4 linked regions of the Caenorhabditis elegans genome follow. The protein of the gene in region 1 purifies or fractionates together with the protein of each later gene. This does not show direct contact. Each region holds a gene or a part of one and is shown in the gene's direction. Other genes may lie near its edges. The genes, in order: sucl-1, cox-5B, nduf-9 and cox-6A.

Region 1 (4,327 bases):
GACAGCGGATTTGAATGATAATGTGCGGATTCGGGAGGCTCGGGAGCACACCACCGCCACAAATCAATAAATTGCTGGGAAAGAAGAAGACGAGAGGACGACGGGAGAAAAAAAAACAGCGAAAAACTGGAAAAAAAACGTTTTCACTGCAAGACACGAGACAACTTTCAAGAAAGTTGACCAAACCGTTGAGAGGAGGGAAAACTATAAATTATTTGTAAGCTTTGAGCATAATCTCCAAGAGCGATTGTGCGCACGTGAAACGAATGATTGGGTGATAGAAAAATAAAAATAAAGTCAATTTTGCTGACAGAAATGTTAGTTTTAGATATTCCCTTTTCTCTATGCATATTTTTTTTGTAATTTGAAAACTATTGTTGAAGTTCGTATTTGATCATTGATAGATAAAATGTTCGAGAAAGTTGATTACTCAATTTTTATCATTTTGCAGAAACGAAAACCGAAGAACAGTTTTCTTTTTTTTCTAACAAGCTACCTAATTTTTTCAGTTAGTTAACAGGTTTTTTTTGATATCAGACAAAAAAGATTTGAATATTTGAATCGTTATTTTTAAAGTTAATATTTTAAGACCAAGCATACCTAAAAAATTAATGTCCAACTTATTTCTAATTCAAATTGTAATTTATTAAAATTTGAGGTTAAATTGAAGTCGTAGGCTTATAAAACCACATCTGAATTTTTTGAAATGATTAAAATTTTTGGGGTACGGCTTCTCCATAGGTATTCAAAAATGTTGTTTTTTTTTAATTTTTGAATTCTCAGTATTTTTAAGACTGTGTAAACAAGTAGTTAATTCCACATGTTCTTATTGACTAGCGTATTTTAATAAATGAGTGAACTTATAGACTAAAAATATATGTTTATCAATTTTGAAGCAACAAAAGTATGCAATAAATATTGACAGTTTGGTAAACGGTTGGACCAGAGATATTCAACTTCAAACGCCCTTAGATTGTTTTAAATAATTACGAGAACGGTCACTATGTAACTAAGTCGGTCTGTCTTGAGACTACTACAGCAATAGAAAAATGAAGCTGGAAAACCAATGTTGATTTCTAAAATTGATTACAGATTCAAAGCTGTGATTTGGTTTTGTCTGTGATTTAACAGTGAATTCCTTCCCTGGACAAAGAGTGATCAATTAATTTTTGTAGTTATACTGAAAAAAATTTCATAAAATGAGGGACCACTTCGCACTCCACAAATTTCTATAAATAATGATAATTAAAAGTCCACTTGCCCCAAACACTTTTCTCAAATGTCCACTTCCTCATCCACTGTGATAACTGCCAAAAAAAAAACTACTCGATTGTCTTTCGCCGACTTGGTTTCCAACTTGTGCAACCGCACCACTCACACTCTCCCGGCCGCCGCACAACGTGTGCAGGCACGTTGGAAGAGAGCGAGAACGGACGGGGCAGCGTTGGGCAGTGTCTAATCGTTTGATACTCAGCCAACCAATTGGCTGCGTACGTCCTTGTTTTCTCTGCTGCCTCTCACGCGATACTCACTCTCTACCCTTTTGTTTTGTGTAACACAAGAGTTAGTTGTTTAGATATCAAGGAATCTATTTTTTTTGTTGGTTTTATTTTTGTTTTTGATAAATCTTATTTTTGATGATACAACTACTTTAATCTATCTTTTTTTATTGAAAATAAGCTTTTCACATTTTCATTGCATCTTCTCGATTGCACCGTTCATCTTAAATTTTACGGCAATTGAATAATATCTTTCTTTCAGGGAACCATGTTGAGTCAGCAAATTGCCAACAATGCTAGAACTTTGCAGAAGGGTATGTTTGCCTATTTCATTTAAATCACCTTATTTGTATTTCCAGGAGCTGCTCGTTTCTACAACAGCACTTACAACAACCTGAAAATCAACAAGGACACCAAGGTTATTGTGCAAGGATTCACAGGAAAGCAGGTATACCCGAATAAATTTATGAATGGCGTGGGAGCTTCTGGAGCGATAATATAAACTCAAACACTGACAATACGCTTTATGCAAAATAGAGGTCACAACTCAGCTTCATAAAAAATTACATCTTAAAATGAAAACGCCTGTCTTCGCAACTCACTTTAAATTCAGTGTTTTCAAAGTTCAACGGCTATAAAATTTTAATGTATTCAGATATGCTTTTGACGTCAATACTTTGCGCATAGCGAACTCTTAAAATATCGAAAATATGTATTTCAAAAAAAAAATTCACAAAAATTTCAGGGTACCTTCCATGGAAAGCAAATGCTCGAGTACAACACTAAAGTCGTCGGTGGAGTAAATGCCAACAAGGCCGGAACAGAGCACTTGGGACTCCCGGTCTTCAAGAACGTCTCCGAAGCTCGCAACAAGACCGGAGCCGACGCCTCTGTCATCTACGTTCCAGCCAGTGCTGCCGGTAGCGCCATCGAGGAAGCCATGGACGCCGAGATTCCATTGGTGGTGTGCATCACTGAAGGAATCCCACAACACGATATGGTCCGTGTTAAGTCGCGTCTTCTCAAGCAGAACAAGACAAGACTTGTTGGGCCAAACTGTCCAGGAATCATCTCGGCCGATCAGTGCAAGATCGGAATCATGCCAGGACACATTCACAAGAGAGTAAGTTATAAATATTGTTGTAGAACCCTTTAAAATCCTTCTCAAGTGAAGTTGAACTTCGAAAACATGTTCAGAAATTATCAATTAAAAATTTTATCAAAACTGTTTGCTGAACTTGTAGGGATGCATCGGAATCGTCTCCCGCTCAGGAACTCTCACCTATGAAGCTGTGCACCAGACTACTCAAGTCGGATTCGGACAGACTTTGTGCGTCGGAATTGGAGGCGATCCATTCAATGGAACAAACTTCATCGACTGCTTGAACGTCTTCCTTGAGGATCCAGAAACTAAGGGTGAGCTCATGTTTCATGAAAATAATACCCTAATGTGAACTCAAACAATGTGATTTTGTATTTATCAGTACCCAGAGTAGCCAGTAAAAATTAAAAAAAAAAAGAATATGAAACCAATTATTTTCCAGGAATCATTCTCATCGGAGAAATCGGAGGATCAGCTGAAGAGGAGGCCGCCGCATACCTTAAGGAGCACAACTCGGGAGCCAACAGGAAGCCAGTCGTCTCATTCATTGCCGGAGTCACAGCTCCACCAGGCAGAAGAATGGGACACGCCGGAGCCATCATTTCGGGAGGAAAGGGAACCGCTGCTGACAAGATCAATGCTCTTAGAGAAGCCGGAGTAGTAGTAAGTTTTTACGTTTTTCCAGAATAAAATTTAAAGCTGCACTTTGAAGCTTGGGATATACAGTGTTCTGTTGCAAAAGTTGTCAAAATAATCTAGAACATTTATGAAGTTACACCTTGTTCATGACGATTTACCTTAGAATTTAACTTGAAAAGTCAGCAGGTTTTTAAAGATATTTTGAAAAATTAAACTTGGTTGCTAAAAAAATGCCATAATTTGTTTCAGGTTACCGACTCTCCAGCTAAACTTGGAACCTCCATGGCCACCGCTTTCCTGGGAAAGATCTAAACAGGAACCCTCGCTGATTTAATACTCAACTTGTCTCCCTCCCCCTTTTCTGTAAGAAAATAGCTTACACACTTTTTAGTGATCTTGCGTTTTTAATTTCAATATTTCTATGACTTCTCTCTTTTTTCTCTCTTTCTTGTCTCTTTTTCTCTAATTTTTTAATATGTTTGCCTCTAGATAACTGTGTGGCTGAATTTTTCCGATAAAATGGAAAAATTGCAGTTGTCGCAAACCAATTGATTGAAAGTTGAAAGTTGTTCATGGGAAAATGGCAAAGATGGAATGTAAAAGAAAAATACACGGAACTAGCCATAATCTAGCAATTCGACTGGACGATGGTGCTACTTCTTCGATGATTATTGATTTTCGACGAACTGCGGTTTCCTTGGTCCATACACGTTTGAACTTTGCGGTTTGACGGTAGGGAGATCGTAGGGGTTGACTGAAAATTTGCAGATCAAGAATCAAGAAGAATGTCGGTGGGTTAGATATGATTTCCAAACGCCGTAAAGTTTCATTCGCATGCGGTTTTCAAGTTTGGTAAATCGTCTGATCACGATGCCCATAAACCGCGATCATCTTTCAAAACATTATTGAAACACTAATTTACCAAATTTTAGAAAATCAAAATTTAATCAAACCGATTTTTTCTGCTGCATTAAAAAATTTTAGCAACTGGACCTATGTATCTTTTATATAGTTTCTTCCCTTGTTTAAATTCTGATTCCTATAGAAAAAATGTAAGGCTTTACCTAGGTACCTACTGAGTTACTAA
Region 2 (3,313 bases), on another chromosome or scaffold:
CTTTCCGGTGATCATCTGTTCTGGATGGAACAGCTTCTTGTAGGTTCCAGTGCGGATCTCATCTGAAAAAAAAAACAAATTTGAATTTGAAACGGTTTTTATTATTGCTTACCAACAACAGTTGGCTCAAGATCTACAAAAATCGATCTTGGAACATATCTTCCGTTTCCAGTATCGGAGAAGAAGGTGGTGAAAGATTCTCCATCGGCTTGTTGGTCTGATGGCATAGTTCCATCGGGCTGGATTCCATGCTCGAGACAGTAGAGCTCCCAGCAAGCATTACCGATTTGGACTCCGGCTTGTCCGACGTGGATGGAGATGACCTCACGCATGTTGAAAACGAACCTGAAAATTAACGGAAATTAGAAGAAATGAAATCATAAATGAACGCGGATAACATATGGCGTAAAGTACGAATGATAAAATCATAGGAGTCGATCAACTAGGAAACAAGGTCAACTCAATTATAAATAATCCTGTTGACAATTCCGGCTGAATAGTTTTCAGGGCAATAAACCAGATATAAACTTGGTACAAGGTTTACAACAAGTAAATAAAAACAAAACCAGGAACTTACATTAGTTAACGAGATGGAGAAGGTTTGGGATATAAAATTTATGAGCCTCCAAATGAAACAAACCCAATTGCATACATATGAAATGCTAGCTCTCAAGAGTATTGCGAAATAGCGAAAAAGACTCGGACCGTTGAAAACAGAGAGCAATTACGCCCATTGCATCGTGGTACATACACAGCAGTCAAACCCTATTGGGTTCTATGCATCTAGTCAAATGAGAAATGAAAGTCGGGCTGGGAAAGAAAACAGAGCTCTTCGTCATTAGATATTCTGGTGCGAGGAAAGGGTAAAACAACTCAAATTGGAAGACTAAAGACGACAATCTTTTCTGCCTTGCTCTAGACATCTGTCACTTGGATGAAACTGGTCAGAGAGGCAGTGCCGGGTCAGAGAGAGGAACGAGCGACGCTTGTCCGATTGGCCAAGGACAGCGGCGACCCTATTCCTCGGTGGACATGACTAGTAGTGGCCATCTGGTGTATATTGCGAAATAGGTTCTCCACTAAACCTTAATCCGATGTTCATGATATAGACGCTTGGATGTCCTATTCATGAAAATGCAAATATTCATCGGGACGATTCAGATTTCAATGCAAAAAATAATAAAACGAAGTTTAAGTTTCAGTAAATAAGCTATGATAAAATAAATAAAAATTAAAAACATCACAAGCAATAGCACGTAACTAAAGTAGAAGCCGAAATGCAAATCTATAATGATTTTATTAGCCGCTGGAGAAACGAATTCCCTAAAACTAAAGATTCTATTGAACACACAAGTTGCAATATAATCAAGAAAATTTGTTAACAAACAATAAAATGTGGCTCAATATTTACAGCATGTGTAGACAACGAGTCAACTTTCAAACAACTCCATTTTAGGAGCAAATCGAAGAGAGAGAATACGAGCGATTGAGAAGCGAAAAATGAGAAAGAATGACAGCCATCTCCCAATCCTATTGTCGTCTGTTTCGCGCCAAAAAAAGTGAAAATTTCTCCCGAGCGCGCCTAGTGGACGAAACGAATTCAAATCCTCTTCGCATTACGGTGTTTCGTATTGAGGAGCGTCTTGTGCGTTGCAACAGACGCGCGTAGTGTATGCCGAGTGTACGCCGAGTGTACGCCCGCCACTGAGGCTCCGTAAATCGTGCCAAGCGTTTTTGGCTCTTTTCGGCTATTGTTCGCATTTTCAAGGGTCCAATCAGAATATAAGTGTTCTTCAAAAAATTTCTGATTTTTCAAGAGGTTTATCTTTTAATTTAACCCTATTTCAATAAGGCCACCTTCCTTTTTTGATTTTTAGACTCCCGATCGATAATTTTCTTCATTCGAAATCGAATTTATATTTAGTCGTTTTTGATACTTGAGAAATACAATTGTATTTTTCAGATGGCTCAACTTGCTAAGACGGCTGTTGCCGCCCTTTCGAAGAAGCTCGTCGCTCCAGCTGCCGTGGCCCGTCGTACTTTGGCCACTGAAGCCTCGCCAGAAGACTACGGATACTACCCAGATCCACTTGAGCACGCTACCGGACGTGAAAAGAAGATGCTTCTCGCTCGTCTTGCTGGAGATGATGTGAGTTTTTGTTAATAAAATTTAACAATTTTCCCAATAATTTCCAAAGTATACCCCATGATGTATCAATTTAGCTAATTGTGAGCTACTTCGCTCTCGAGATTTTGTCTTGAAGTGTGAGTCGTATTGAACGAACTTTGTCGAAGCTGATCTGAGGGAGATTTGCAATTTGAGTCGTTATCGTATCTAATACTGGTTTTTAATGAGAAAGTGTTTACAAAATGAAACCCATTTAGTAAAAGTGGCAAATTATCTACTATTTCTTCATCTTTTCAAAGTTAAATAATAAAAGTTTCATTCTTCAGCGTTACGAGCCAAAAGTCTACTATCGCGCTGAGGCTTCCACCAAGCAGAAGCCAAATTTGGTCCCATCTCACTACGACTTCAGAATCATTGGATGCATGTGTAAGTTATATTTAAAAGCATGATTGATTCAATTAAACAACTATTTTTCAGGTGAGCAAGATTCCGGACATGTCAATTTCATGACAATTCGCAAAGGAGATCCAAAGAGATGCGAGTGCGGACACTGGTTCAAGGGAGTCGACGCCGACCCAGAATCCATCTAAACAATTTTCAATGTAGATTATTGTTCCGACTTATTTTAGATCGCTCCATCAGTGAAAATAAAACGCGCTGGTTTGAAGACAAACCATTCTGTTTCTAGAGTTGGTTCAATTCGTTTCTTTGTTTTTCGTCAAGATGTCTCCTATTTCTGTAAATTAATTTTTTATCAATTTAACCTACATTTCTTACATGAAAAAATGTTCTTCGTAGGTTTTCCCTGACAATCTCCTGGATTAGGTGGTTAATGTTAAAAATGAACAAAACAGGTGGAAACAACAATCAATGATGCTGTTTCTCCCGTCAACCTCCACAGAATCTAGCTGATAAAAATCTGAGTTCAGATGCCTCGCTCCTCTCATTTTGTTATTGGTTTTCAAAATCACGTGCTGTCACTAGCACATACAATTTTGTTTTTAAATTGGCAATTGTTTGCCTTCATTTCAACAATTTTAAGCTTTCGTGTTGTCGTAGATCGAATTTATACATTTAGAGCCCAGGCTTGAGCATTACATCAAAAAGTAATAACTCACTTCTTCAAAACATTTCCAATTTTCGAACCATTAGTGACTTCCTTTTTCATTTTATCATTTAAAAACA
Region 3 (7,652 bases), on another chromosome or scaffold:
AAAAAACTAATTTTCAGACGTGGCCTAGAAAAATAACCGGAAAAGTTAGGCCACGCAGCATTTTTCTAGAAAATTGCAAATTTTTCGAGAAACGCGTTATGTCTTCACTTTTAATTTTGAAAAACGTGCTTAATTTGCTTTTTAATCAAATTTTTTCAAATTTTAAGACGTGGCCAAGAAAAACCAGCTGAAAAAATAGGCCACGAAATTTTTCTTCGAAAAGCTCCATTTTTCCGCGATTTCGCCGCTGGAAATTAACTTTCGGCCAACGTTTCTGTGAAAATTATTTTTTAAAACTCTAAATATCTGCCAAAAAACCACTGTGGCCTAAACAATTCCATTGATTTTTCCAGTATTCTTCTTACTTATCGTCACGTTTGCCGGATTTTCATTTTCCCGCCCCGACCACCATTCGAGGAACTGCAAAGTAAGTGCGCTCTAGCGAACAACGAAGCTGCAAACGCGCTCCATTGAGAATTTTGCTTAAATGGTGGAAATCTCGGGGGTTTCTGGAGATATATCGATTTTTATTCGATATTTCGCTGAAAAAAATTGAAAAATTTGAGAAAAATCATTCAAAACCCTAGTTTTTCGCCGATTTTTTCCGCATTTTTTCAAGAATTCGGAATATTTTTTGATTTCCAGGCTTACCGACGACCGGCTCTAAACGAAGTGCTCACGAGAATATGCCTACTTTGCCATGAAATGTTTTCAGTCGACCAGCCGAATCTAGCCGCCGAGTGCAGCTCGAATTGCTTCAGGAATCCGGCGTTTAACAAGTGTCTCAACTTTTTTAGGCCGAAATTTTCTCCTTTTCTGGGTTCCACGTGATAAATAAATTGGTTTTAATCGTTAAATTTGAATTTTAATTGACTAAAATTGGTTAAATCGAGAAAAAAAAAGAAAAGAACCACAGTGCGGAGTCGAACCCCGGTGTGTTGCGTGAAAGGCAAAAGAGTTACCAGCAAAGCCACAAAGCAATGTGAACGTAATTTTGAGAGGCGTATACATTGTAGCCATAAATGCTTATTATCTCGATAGCGTATAATATTAATAATTGAGAATTTTGATGTCATTTTCAGTTTAATCTACCAGTATTCTTCTGTAATTTCGCACATTTTGAAGAAATCCCTTGAAAACTTCGCATTTCTATTTAATTCAAAGATTTTAATAATTTTTCTTGAATGTAAAACAAGAAAAGTAATATTTCATTAATTTTTCAACAATTTAGATTGAAAACTCTCTTTAAAACCGCCTTTCTCACCAATTTTTGCTAATTTCAAAGCTTCTCATTCCTCCTTGGAGTACGGTCATCAATCCCCGCCCTTCCAAGTGCGCATTCGAGTCCGCAAACGTCAAACCCGACGCCATATTGCGTACAGGCCAAATTATTTATTTCGGCACCGCGTACTTCATTTTCAGCCATTTTTAGCGGTTTTTCCAGATTTTTTCGCTATTTTCGGTGCTTTTTTGATAAAAAATCGATTTTTTCGACCGGAAAAGCTATTTTTAGCTGGAAAAAATCCCGAAAAAACGCAGAAAACCCATTTAATTCTTAAAAAGTCTTTAAAAATCTTTAAAAATCTTTAAACAATTGCAAATCTCGATTTTCCTAATTTCAGCCATGCTATCAGTGTTGGGTAGATCCGGCTTGGGCGCCCGGCAGGCGGTTTCGGTCGTTGGAAGTCAGAATTTCAGCAGCGCGGTCACCTCCGCCGAAAATGCTCATCCGGAGCCACGTGTCAGCTCTCAGAGTGCTCAATTCAGAAAGGGAGCCGGTGGAAGGTACAGGAAAAGCCTAAGAATGATTTGAAACTGGAAAATGTGGAAAAAATCTAGGAAAAATTGAAAAAACATTGAAAAAAAATCAATTTTTTCCCAAAAAAAATCGTTAAAAATTCCAAATTTTTGCAGAGCCTCCTTCTCCGGCAATGTGGTGACCGTATTCGGTGCGTCAGGCTTCTTGGGACTTCCAGTTGTCAATAAATTCGCGAAAAATGGCTCACAAATCATTATTCCGTATCGCCAGGATCCGTATTACATGAGAGAGCACAAAGTGCTCGGCGAGCTCGGACAAGTCCTCTATTTTCCATTTGAGCTGATGGATGAGGAGAGCATTCGAAAGGTATTAAAATTCGTGGAAATTGAGAGAAAAATCGAGTTTTCTAGGTGAAAATCGAGAAAAATTGGATTTTTCTCTAGAAAATCCAGAAAAAATAGAGTTTTCTCAGTGAAAATCGAGAAAAAATGGGTTTTTCTTTAGAAAATTCAGAAAAAATAGAGTTTTCTCAGTGAAAATCGAGAAAAATTAGGTTTTTTCTCTAGAAAATTCCGAAAAAAAAAGAGTTTTCTAGGTGAAAATCGAGAAAAATTGGATTTTTCTCTAGAAAATCCAGAAAAAATCAATTTTTCAGGCTGTAAAGTACTCGAACGTCGTCATCAACTTGATCGGAACTCGTGTGCCGACTGGGTGAGGAAATTGCAGATTTTTGAGCGGAAAAATTCACAAAATATGCCGGAAATTCAAAAAATTCAAATTTCGCGCCGTTTTTGACCAAATAAATCACTCTTTTTCGCTGAAAATTCGAAAAAATGCCTGAAAAACCTTCAAAATGTGGAATTTAACCCTTTTTTCCTACTGAAAATTCAAAAAATAAATTTTTTTACACCAAATTATCATTCAAAATTCAAAAAAAAAGCTCTTTTTTTCCAGTTTTTTCATTGAAAAACTCAAAATTCCTCACTTTTTCCAACTGAAAATCAATTAAAAATTGAAAAATCCCCTTAAATTTTGAATTTGGCTCCACTTTTTGGCTAAAAATTTGAAAAATGTCCGAAAAATCTTCAAAATTTTGAGTTTCGCGCCGTTTTTTTCACTGAAAATTCAAAAAATATTTTTAAAAAATTCAAAAAAAACTAAATTGCTCAATTTTTCTCCAAAATTTTCGAGAAAACTGCCATTTTCTATTGAAAAATTCAAATTTCCCCACTTTTTCCTTCTAAAAATCCCAATTTTAAGCCATTTTTCCTTGCAGAAAGTACAATTACTATGACGTCAACGACACGGGAGCCCGCCGTTTGGCTCGAATTTGCAAAGAAATGGGTGTGGAGAAATTTGTGCATTTGTCGGCTCTCGGAGCAACTACACAACCACAAAAGGGACATTTTGTCGCAAAATCGCAATTTCTTCATTCAAAAGGACTCGGAGAAGTTGCTGTACGTGAAGAATTCCCAGAAGCAACAATTATTCGCCCATCTGTGATCTACGGTGAATTGGATGGATTTATTCAATATTATGTGTCAAGATGGCGAAAAACTCCATTGGATTATGTGTATTTGTACAAGAAGGGAGAAGAAACGTATAAAATGCCGATTTGGGTACGGAATTGGCCGATAATTCATGAAAAATGACCTAAAATACGTGAAAATTGGCCGAAAATGACTGAAAATGGCTGAAATTTGGCACAAAATTAAATATTTTAACGAAAAACTCACAAAAACCGAGATTTTTTGAAAATTTACGATTTTCACATTAAAAATTGTCAAAAAAATTTTATTTTCCGTTAATATTGATTAAAATTATAGAAAAATCCATTTTCAACCGAATTTTGAACGAAATTAATCAAAATTTCATAAAATACATTTTAAAAAAAGCTCAAAATACGTGAAATTCGCCAAAAATGCTGAACAATTACTTAAAATTCAAAAAAATTGAAGTAATTTGACCAAAAAACTGAATTTTAGTCAATAAAAATTCAAAAATGGCTGAAAATTGTTTGAATATTGAAAATTGGGCGAAAATTCATGAAAAATGACCTAAAATACGTGAAAATCGGCCAAAAATGACGAAAAAAAATTTTTTTTTAAAGTAGAAAATTTCATGAAAATCGAGAAAAATGGTGTAATTTGACCTAATAACTGAATTTTAAAAATAAAAAGTCGAAAATCCGTGAAAATCGGTCTAAATCTACGAAATTTCATGAAAATTCGCTTGAAATTGAGAAAAATGACTCAAAATTCATTACAATAAATCCAAATGAACTGAAAAATGTCAAAATTCATAAAAATTGGCCTAATACAAATAAAATGAGTCCAAATATTTATGAAAAGTCTCGAAATTTCATATAAAGTTGCTCAAAATACGTGAAATTCGCTAAAAATTGCTGGAATTTATTTAATTTGCTTAAAAATTAGAAAAAAATTTCAAAATTCAAGGAAATTGGCATAAGTCCGTCTAAAAATTGAATTTTAAATTTAAAAAGTCAAAAATTCCAACAAATCGGCCAAAAATTACTGAAAATTGTTCAAAATATGACCAATTTTTGTTTGAAAATCGGAAAAATTACTCAAAATTCGAGAAACGCTGTAATTTGCGAAATTTTATGAAAAAAAAGCCTTAAAACCATTTAAATTGGCCAAAAATGACTGAAAATGGCTGAAATTTGGCACAAAATTGAAAATTTTCGGAATTTCACCCAAAATTTCATAAAATTTGATAAAACTAGTCGAAAATTGGTAGAATTTCGGCAAAAATCGTATTTTCACACAGAAAATTGTCAAAAAATTGCTAAAAATGACAAATTTTGACTGAAAAACTTGAATTTTTGCTTAAATTTCATCAAAATGTAAAAATCGGTAAAATTCCAGAAAAATTCACCGAAATTTGCAAATTTTGGCTTAAAATTGTCCATTTTTGCCGAAAAAAAATTGATGGTAGGCGGCGGTAGGCATAAAGTAGGCACAATTTTTTTTTTGCGAAAAAATGCAAAAAATGTCCAAATTTCGCATATTTTGACTCAAAACCTCGGCCAAAAATGGTGTAATTTGACCTAATAACTGAATTTTAAAAATAAAAAGTCGAAAATCCGTGAAAATCGGTCTAAATCTACGAAATTTCATGAAAATTCGCTTGAAATTGAAAAAAATGACTCAAAATTCATTACAATAAATCCAAATGAACTGAAAAATGTCAAAATTCATAAAAATTGGCTTTTAATACAATTAAAATGAGTCCAAATATTTATGAAAAGTCTCGAAATTTCATATAAAGTTGCTCAAAATATGTGAAATTCGCTAAAAATTGATGGAATTTATTTAATTTGCTTAAAAATTAGAGAAAAAAAATTTCAAAATTCAAGGAAATGAGGCTTAAAGTTACCTATAAACGCTGGAATTTGCGAAATTTTATGAAAAAAAGCTTTAAAACCATTTAAATTGTCCAAAAATGACTGAAAATGGCTGAAATTTGGCACAAAACTGAAAATTTTCGGAATTTCACCCAAAATTTGATAAAACTAGTCGAAAATTGGTAGAATTTTGGCAAAAATCGTTTTCTCCTCAAAAATGTAACAAAATTTTCGATTTTCACACAGAAAATTGTCAAAAAATTGCTAAAAATGACAAATTTTGACTGAAAATCTCGAATTTTTGCTTAAATTCCATCAAAAATGATGATTTTTTCAGAAAAATTCACCGAAATTTGCAAATTTTGGCTTAAAATTGTCCATTTCTGCCGAAAAAAAATTGATGGTAGGCATAAGTAGGCACCATTTTATTGCGAAAAATGACCAAATTTTGGATATTTTGACTCAAAACCTTGAATTTTTGCCAAAATTCAATTCATTTTTCGCACAATTTCAGTAAAAATAACTCAAAATTTACCATTTTTTGCCGAATTTTCAACGAAATTGATCAAAATTTCGAGAAAATCGGCGAAAAATCACTAAAAAAATCTCGATTTTCTTGCAGGTTGCTTTTTTAGTTTTTAGTTTTAGTTTAAAAAAGAAAAATCGGCCAAAAATGAGTGAAAATTGTTCAAAATAGGCCCAATTTGTTTGAAAATTCAAAAAATTACTCGAAATACATACAATTCGGCCTAAAACTGCCTATAAACGGTGGAATTTGCGAAAATAAGCGAAATAAAAAAAAAAGCTTTAAAAACGTTTAAATTGGCCAAAAATGACAAAAAATGGCTGAAATTTGGTCCAAAATTGAAAATTTTGAAGAAAATTGACGATTTTTGACGAAAAACATACAAAAAATCGTTTAAAAATGTTATCAATTCCAATTTTCGGTAATTTCCCATATTCACTTGAAAAAAATTGTTGAAACATTGCTAAAAATGGCAAGTATATATATTGAATTTTTTGGTTAAATTCCATTAAAAAACGGTATTTTCGCGCGAAATTTCATTAAAAGGAGTGAAAATCCGTAAAATTTCAAAAAAAATTCACAGAAATTTGCAAATTTTGGCTCAAAATTTACCATTTTTTGCCGAGTTTTCAACGAAATTGATCAAAATTTCGAGAAAATTGGCGAAAAATTCCGATTTTCTTGCAGGTTGGAGACGTTGCCGCCGGAATTCAAAGTGCTGTAAATGATCCAACAGCAAAAGGACATACTTATGAATTTGTTGGACCACACTGCTATCAATTGTCTGAATTGATTGATTTCATGTACAAAAAAGCGCATTGTTTGTCTGATTTTGGATTCAGGTACCCGGTTTTTCGATTTTCCCGCCGAAAATTGGCCTAAAATGAAGGAAAATTGCTAATTTTTGGGCAAAAAAATCATGAAAATTGATAATTTTTAACGAGAAATTCATGAAAATTGGACTTAAAAATCGTGAAAACTGGGTCTCGCCACGAAAACTTTATTTTTTTCAAATTTAAAGGCACATGGGTTGTGCATCAATCAGGAAATTTTGAAAATTCGAATTCTCCTCAAAATTCTAGGCTTGTAGCTTTAATCGGGTCTCGCAACGAAAATTTCACGAGTACAGTAACCCGCGAGATATTATTCCGTGGCGAGACCTTAAAAAATCAAAAAAATCAATATTTTCACTGAAAATTGATGATTTTTAACGTGAACTTTATGAAAATTGGCTAAAAAATATAAATTTAGACGTAAAAATCGTGAAAACTACATTTTTTTTTGGGTCTCGCCACGAAAAAGTTGAAAAAAAAAAATTTCTTGAGTACAGTAACCCGCGAGGTATTGTTTCGTGGCGGCGGGACCCAGGCGTGAAATTTCGAGAAAAATCGCGAATTTTTCAATTATTTTCGTGGCGGGACCCGAGAAAAAGCTCAAATTTTTGCAGATACAAGCGTCACGGAATGCCGGATCCATATTTCATGGCTCTCACAATGGCCACCGAACTCTATGGTAAAGTGTTCAAGTGTAAAGTTCCACTCAACAGAGAATGGATGGAGTTTGTGGTAGGTTTTAGGGCTTAAAATGAGCAAAAACGCCTCAAATTTTAGATTTTTTTAATTAAAAATCGGTTTTCCGCCAAAAATCGGGCAATTTTTACGGAAAAATCCATTTTTTAAGTGAAAAACACTTAAAAAAAACTGATTTTTGAGTCAAAAAATTGGAAATTTCGGAAAGCCTACCTACGCCTGCCTTGTGCCTACCGTTGAATTGTTAAATCAGGTAGGCGTAGGCACAATTTTGAGGAATTTTTTTTGTAGAAGTGGCGGAAACAACCCGATTTTCATCAAAAAAATTCGAAAAAAATCGAAAATTTTTTCAAAATTATCGATTTTTAGTCGAAAAATGGATTTTATTGATTTTTTTTTTTGAAAAAAAAATTTAGCGAATAAAATCGATAATTTACGGAAATTATCGATTTTTTGTTGATTTTCAAAAAA
Region 4 (3,702 bases), on another chromosome or scaffold:
TCATCAAGCCAACCACGGACTCTTCTTCAATCAAGGACAGTGCTGTTGTGCCGGATCCAGAACATTTGTCGAAGGAAAGATCTATGATGATTTCGTAGCTCGTTCCAAGGAATTGGCCGAGAAGGCTGTTATCGGAGATCCATTTGATTTGAAAACTACTCAAGGACCACAAGTTGACGGAAAGCAGGTTGAGACTATTTTAAAATATATCGCTGCTGGAAAGAAGGATGGAGCTCAATTGGTGACTGGAGGAGCCAAACACGGAGATCAAGGACACTTTGTGAAGCCAACTATCTTCGCTAATGTTAAGGATCAGATGACTATTGCTCAAGAAGAAATCTTTGGACCTGTTATGACTATCATTAGATTCGACACAATGGAAGAATTAGTTGAAAAGGCTAATAACACTATTTATGGATTGGCTGCTGGAGTTATGACTAAGGATATTGATAAGGCACTTCATATTGCCAACGCAACCAGAGCTGGATCTGTCTGGGTTAATTGTTACGATGTGTTCGATGCTGCTGCTCCATTCGGAGGATTCAAGCAGTCCGGTAAGCTAATTTATTATTAAAATTTCTCCATGCCAAAGTTAAAAAATACTTTTTCTTTTAGGAATCGGTCGCGAACTCGGAGAATATGGTCTTGAGGCATACACTGAAGTAAAGACTGTCACCATCAAGGTTCCACAGAAGAACTCATAAATTTCTTGAATTTTCGCTTTCCCTGTAATTTTTGTTCCTTTTGCTTTTTTTTTTGAAAAATGTTTATTGCTCTTAATATACGTGTTGTATTTATCTATTTTTCACATATATTGAAAAAGAATTCTGAAAGAAATAGACACCTACAGGACGACTCATAAAAGTCTCGACTTCTTTGTGAATTGATTGATTCAGGACAAACGAATTATTACTCTGTACATTAGAGGATCAGTCGTAAAATCTTCAAAAGGCAAAAATTTTACGAGCTTCCGGTAGGTTACGCGAAATTTTAAAAAAAATTTGGAACGCTTCACGAATTTGCGTGTCATCCTTGCGCAGGGGCCATGCTAATCTTCTCTGTATTGTTCCAATTTTAGTATATGTTCTCGGAAGAACGAGACAGCCAGGACCAGTTGTTGCTTATATAGTGGCCACCTGCAAGGCGGCAGACATCTCGTGGGTTCCGCAATTCTCCGTCAAGCAACTCAAAAAGGGCAAGAATCGAACCAAAACTTGATACTTATTTCCGTCAATAACTTTTTAGCCAATGAATCGATATTAATAATTTTTTATGTGTTCGTTCTACATGTCATGTTTTAACAGGTAACAAAGTTTCAGAAAATTTGAAGCATTTCTAACGGAGATAATAGGCAAATTAGACAGCATGTTGCAGCACAATTATTTCACACACCTTAAAGGCGCACGCCATTTCACCGGCTGGTCTCGCAGCGAAGACGGCCTCTCCGTTATTTTCTCTTGAGGAAACGTGCGTTTCTGTGGTTTTACTTCACAAACAGTGCTTTTATTGATTATTTTTGAGTTTCAAATGATTAAATTACAAATTATGAATTTTTTAACCACAATAGCATATAAACCGCAGCCGTAAATCGATATTGTTCGACTAGAAATTCCACTTTTTCGAATTCAAATCTGCAAGTGTTCAACCATGTCATTCAATCATTATTGTCGGGTTTAAATTTCTAAAATTCTTCATAGCAATTATTAGGTTTCTTAAGACGTAAGAAAAACCTCATTTGTTTTTATTTTGTGAGTTTGTTTTATTGCTTTTTCTGATTTAAAAATCACAATTTTGTACTTTTTCATCAAATCACCTGATTTTTCTCTTTTTTTCTCAATTTTCACGTAAACAAGTTTGTTCCCCCTCCTTCTCCCCCCGCGTTCCGTTTTTCTCACAAATCTCAACTTCATTTCAAATTTTAAAGGTATCCGACATGAACCGTCTCGCTCAACCAGCTACCCGCTCGGTCGTCAAGACCTTCCAACGCAAATCCTCAGGATCATTTTACGGATCCAACAATGTCGAAGGATTCAAAGAGTCATATGTCACTCCACTCAAGCAAGCTCACAGTAAGTGTTTTTTTTTAAAATAAATAGTTTCTATTTTGATGTTCAAAGATTAAAATATATTTTTCAGATGCTAGCGAGACCTGGAAGAAAATCTTCTTCATTGCTTCGATTCCATGCTTGGCTCTTACCATGTATGCCGCCTTCAAGGATCACAAAAAACACATGAGCCACGAACGCCCAGAGCACGTCGAGTACGCCTTCTTGAACGTTCGCAACAAGGTAAAATATTCGTTTTTATCTTGAAATCTGCCATAGTTTAAAATTTTACTTAAAAAATGTTATTTAGCTTTCATGTCTTCCTCATTAAAGAAGTTATCGGCAAACTGTTTAAAAATGTCATCTTTCTGGCATTTTTCAAACTAAAAAGGATGACTGTGAAGTTTAATAATATTCAAAACGAATTAAAAAAAAAACAGTCGCTTTTTTGGAATTTTAATTTCTACAATCAAGCTTTTAAATGATTATACAATTTTATAATTTGGCGTTTTCTCAGTAATTAAAAAAAACGATTGGTCTCAATAAATTCCCAAGATGGTTAAAAATTTCAAAAAAAGAGTAAGAAAAATTTTAGCTAAATCTCCAATTTAGCCAACATGTTCTAGTTGCAGCTGCTGGAATACAGTTTTATTGAATTATTGTTTTGGTCTATCAGACTAAAATTGACCTAAATCGACGGAATAACGTAAAATTAACAACCAAAACATGAAAAAAGGATGATAATAAAATAAATACTCATTTCCGACGTTTGCAACACAGAAAAGTTGACAAAATTAAAGATTTTAGCAAAAACTTTCCTACTTTTTTGCAATTTAGAATCGCCAACATTTTTTTCTTGAAAATCAATCAATCCATTCTGAAAATGCATTCCTAATAAATATTCAATTTCAGCCATTCCCATGGTCCGATGGAAATCACTCATTGTTCCACAACAAGGCGGAGCAATTTGTTCCAGGAGTTGGATTCGAGGCTGACCGTGAGAAGCACTAAACAATGCTGGACGATACAATTAATCATCATATTTAACGTCATCCATTTGTGTGTGTGCTTCGAGTTGTTTAGTTTAACAAAACGAGACATGTTTTGCGCAAGTGTAGTTTCAGAATTGTATAAAAAGTCGAAAAAATTATTGCAAAACAAGAACAATTTGAAAAATATTCGTGAGAAATCTTTGAGCAAAGTCGGGAGTTTTCTTTTCAGACAAATGGATTATTGTGGCGACGAGAAGAATGCTGTTGTTTTGGCAGTGGCAAATGATTTGCACGATAGTGGATTTTATTCACTGAGACATTGCAATTGTAGCTCATCTGGAATTCAAATAATTTTCTTCAGATATTTTTATGAAAGAAATATCCAAACCTTGTGCTGAATATTTGTTCTTACTAGTCGATTGTTAGTTTCTTGAATTTTCCTGAAATTTGGGGCAACGGGGACTTTCTCGGCGCCTTCCATGCTCAGATATAAGTGTGACCACTCCTCGAACTGTAAATTTAGAATCAAAGTTTTTTATAGACTATTAAAAAACTTACATGCTCCTTTTTGATAAAAATAGGTTGATTCAGAATAATCCAAGTGACAGTCTCATGGCATCCAGGAGAAGTGAGAGATCCTTCATAAGTGATAATATCTCTAGTGA

The links.
Region 2: the proteins of sucl-1 (region 1) and cox-5B fractionate together in Caenorhabditis elegans (co-fractionation; one large-scale study listed by BioGRID). This does not show direct contact.
Region 3: the proteins of sucl-1 (region 1) and nduf-9 fractionate together in Caenorhabditis elegans (co-fractionation; one large-scale study listed by BioGRID). This does not show direct contact.
Region 4: the proteins of sucl-1 (region 1) and cox-6A fractionate together in Caenorhabditis elegans (co-fractionation; one large-scale study listed by BioGRID). This does not show direct contact.

Annotation. Positions count from the first base shown.
Region 1 is NC_003284.9:14,752,265-14,756,591, forward strand, and holds sucl-1 (Succinate--CoA ligase [ADP/GDP-forming] subunit alpha, mitochondrial), read left to right. Parts: upstream 1-1,761; 5' UTR 1,762-1,767; coding exon 1,768-1,813; intron 1,814-1,858; coding exon 1,859-1,947; intron 1,948-2,244; coding exon 2,245-2,622; intron 2,623-2,743; coding exon 2,744-2,915; intron 2,916-3,043; coding exon 3,044-3,264; intron 3,265-3,489; coding exon 3,490-3,552; 3' UTR 3,553-3,810; downstream 3,811-4,327. Other genes in the region: C05G5.5 (Metalloprotease TIKI homolog), read right to left, coding at 3,811-3,994. UniProt on the Caenorhabditis elegans protein: Succinyl-CoA synthetase functions in the citric acid cycle (TCA), coupling the hydrolysis of succinyl-CoA to the synthesis of either ATP or GTP and thus represents the only step of substrate-level phosphorylation in the TCA.
Region 2 is NC_003279.8:9,787,046-9,790,358, forward strand, and holds cox-5B (COX5B-domain-containing protein), read left to right. Parts: upstream 1-1,963; coding exon 1,964-2,149; intron 2,150-2,175; exon of another isoform or gene 2,176-2,445; intron 2,446-2,454; coding exon 2,455-2,554; intron 2,555-2,605; coding exon 2,606-2,718; 3' UTR 2,719-2,806; downstream 2,807-3,313. Other genes in the region: tba-1 (Tubulin alpha chain), read right to left, coding at 1-62, 113-345, 578-579.
Region 3 is NC_003281.10:3,242,546-3,250,197, reverse strand, and holds the start of nduf-9 (NADH dehydrogenase [ubiquinone] 1 alpha subcomplex subunit 9, mitochondrial), read left to right. Parts: upstream 1-1,622; 5' UTR 1,623-1,624; coding exon 1,625-1,785; intron 1,786-1,914; coding exon 1,915-2,125; intron 2,126-2,414; coding exon 2,415-2,470; intron 2,471-3,035; coding exon 3,036-3,378; intron 3,379-6,339; coding exon 6,340-6,494; intron 6,495-7,099; coding exon 7,100-7,217; intron 7,218-7,652. Other genes in the region: Y53G8AL.4 (Apple domain-containing protein), read left to right, coding at 354-427, 646-831.
Region 4 is NC_003281.10:5,079,802-5,083,503, forward strand, and holds cox-6A (Cytochrome c oxidase subunit 6A, mitochondrial), read left to right. Parts: upstream 1-1,924; 5' UTR 1,925-1,933; coding exon 1,934-2,069; intron 2,070-2,136; coding exon 2,137-2,288; intron 2,289-2,957; coding exon 2,958-3,056; 3' UTR 3,057-3,186; downstream 3,187-3,702. Other genes in the region: alh-1 (Aldehyde dehydrogenase domain-containing protein), read left to right, coding at 1-554, 616-704; cah-1 (Putative carbonic anhydrase-like protein 1), read right to left, coding at 3,405-3,548, 3,596-3,702. UniProt on the Caenorhabditis elegans protein: Component of the cytochrome c oxidase, the last enzyme in the mitochondrial electron transport chain which drives oxidative phosphorylation.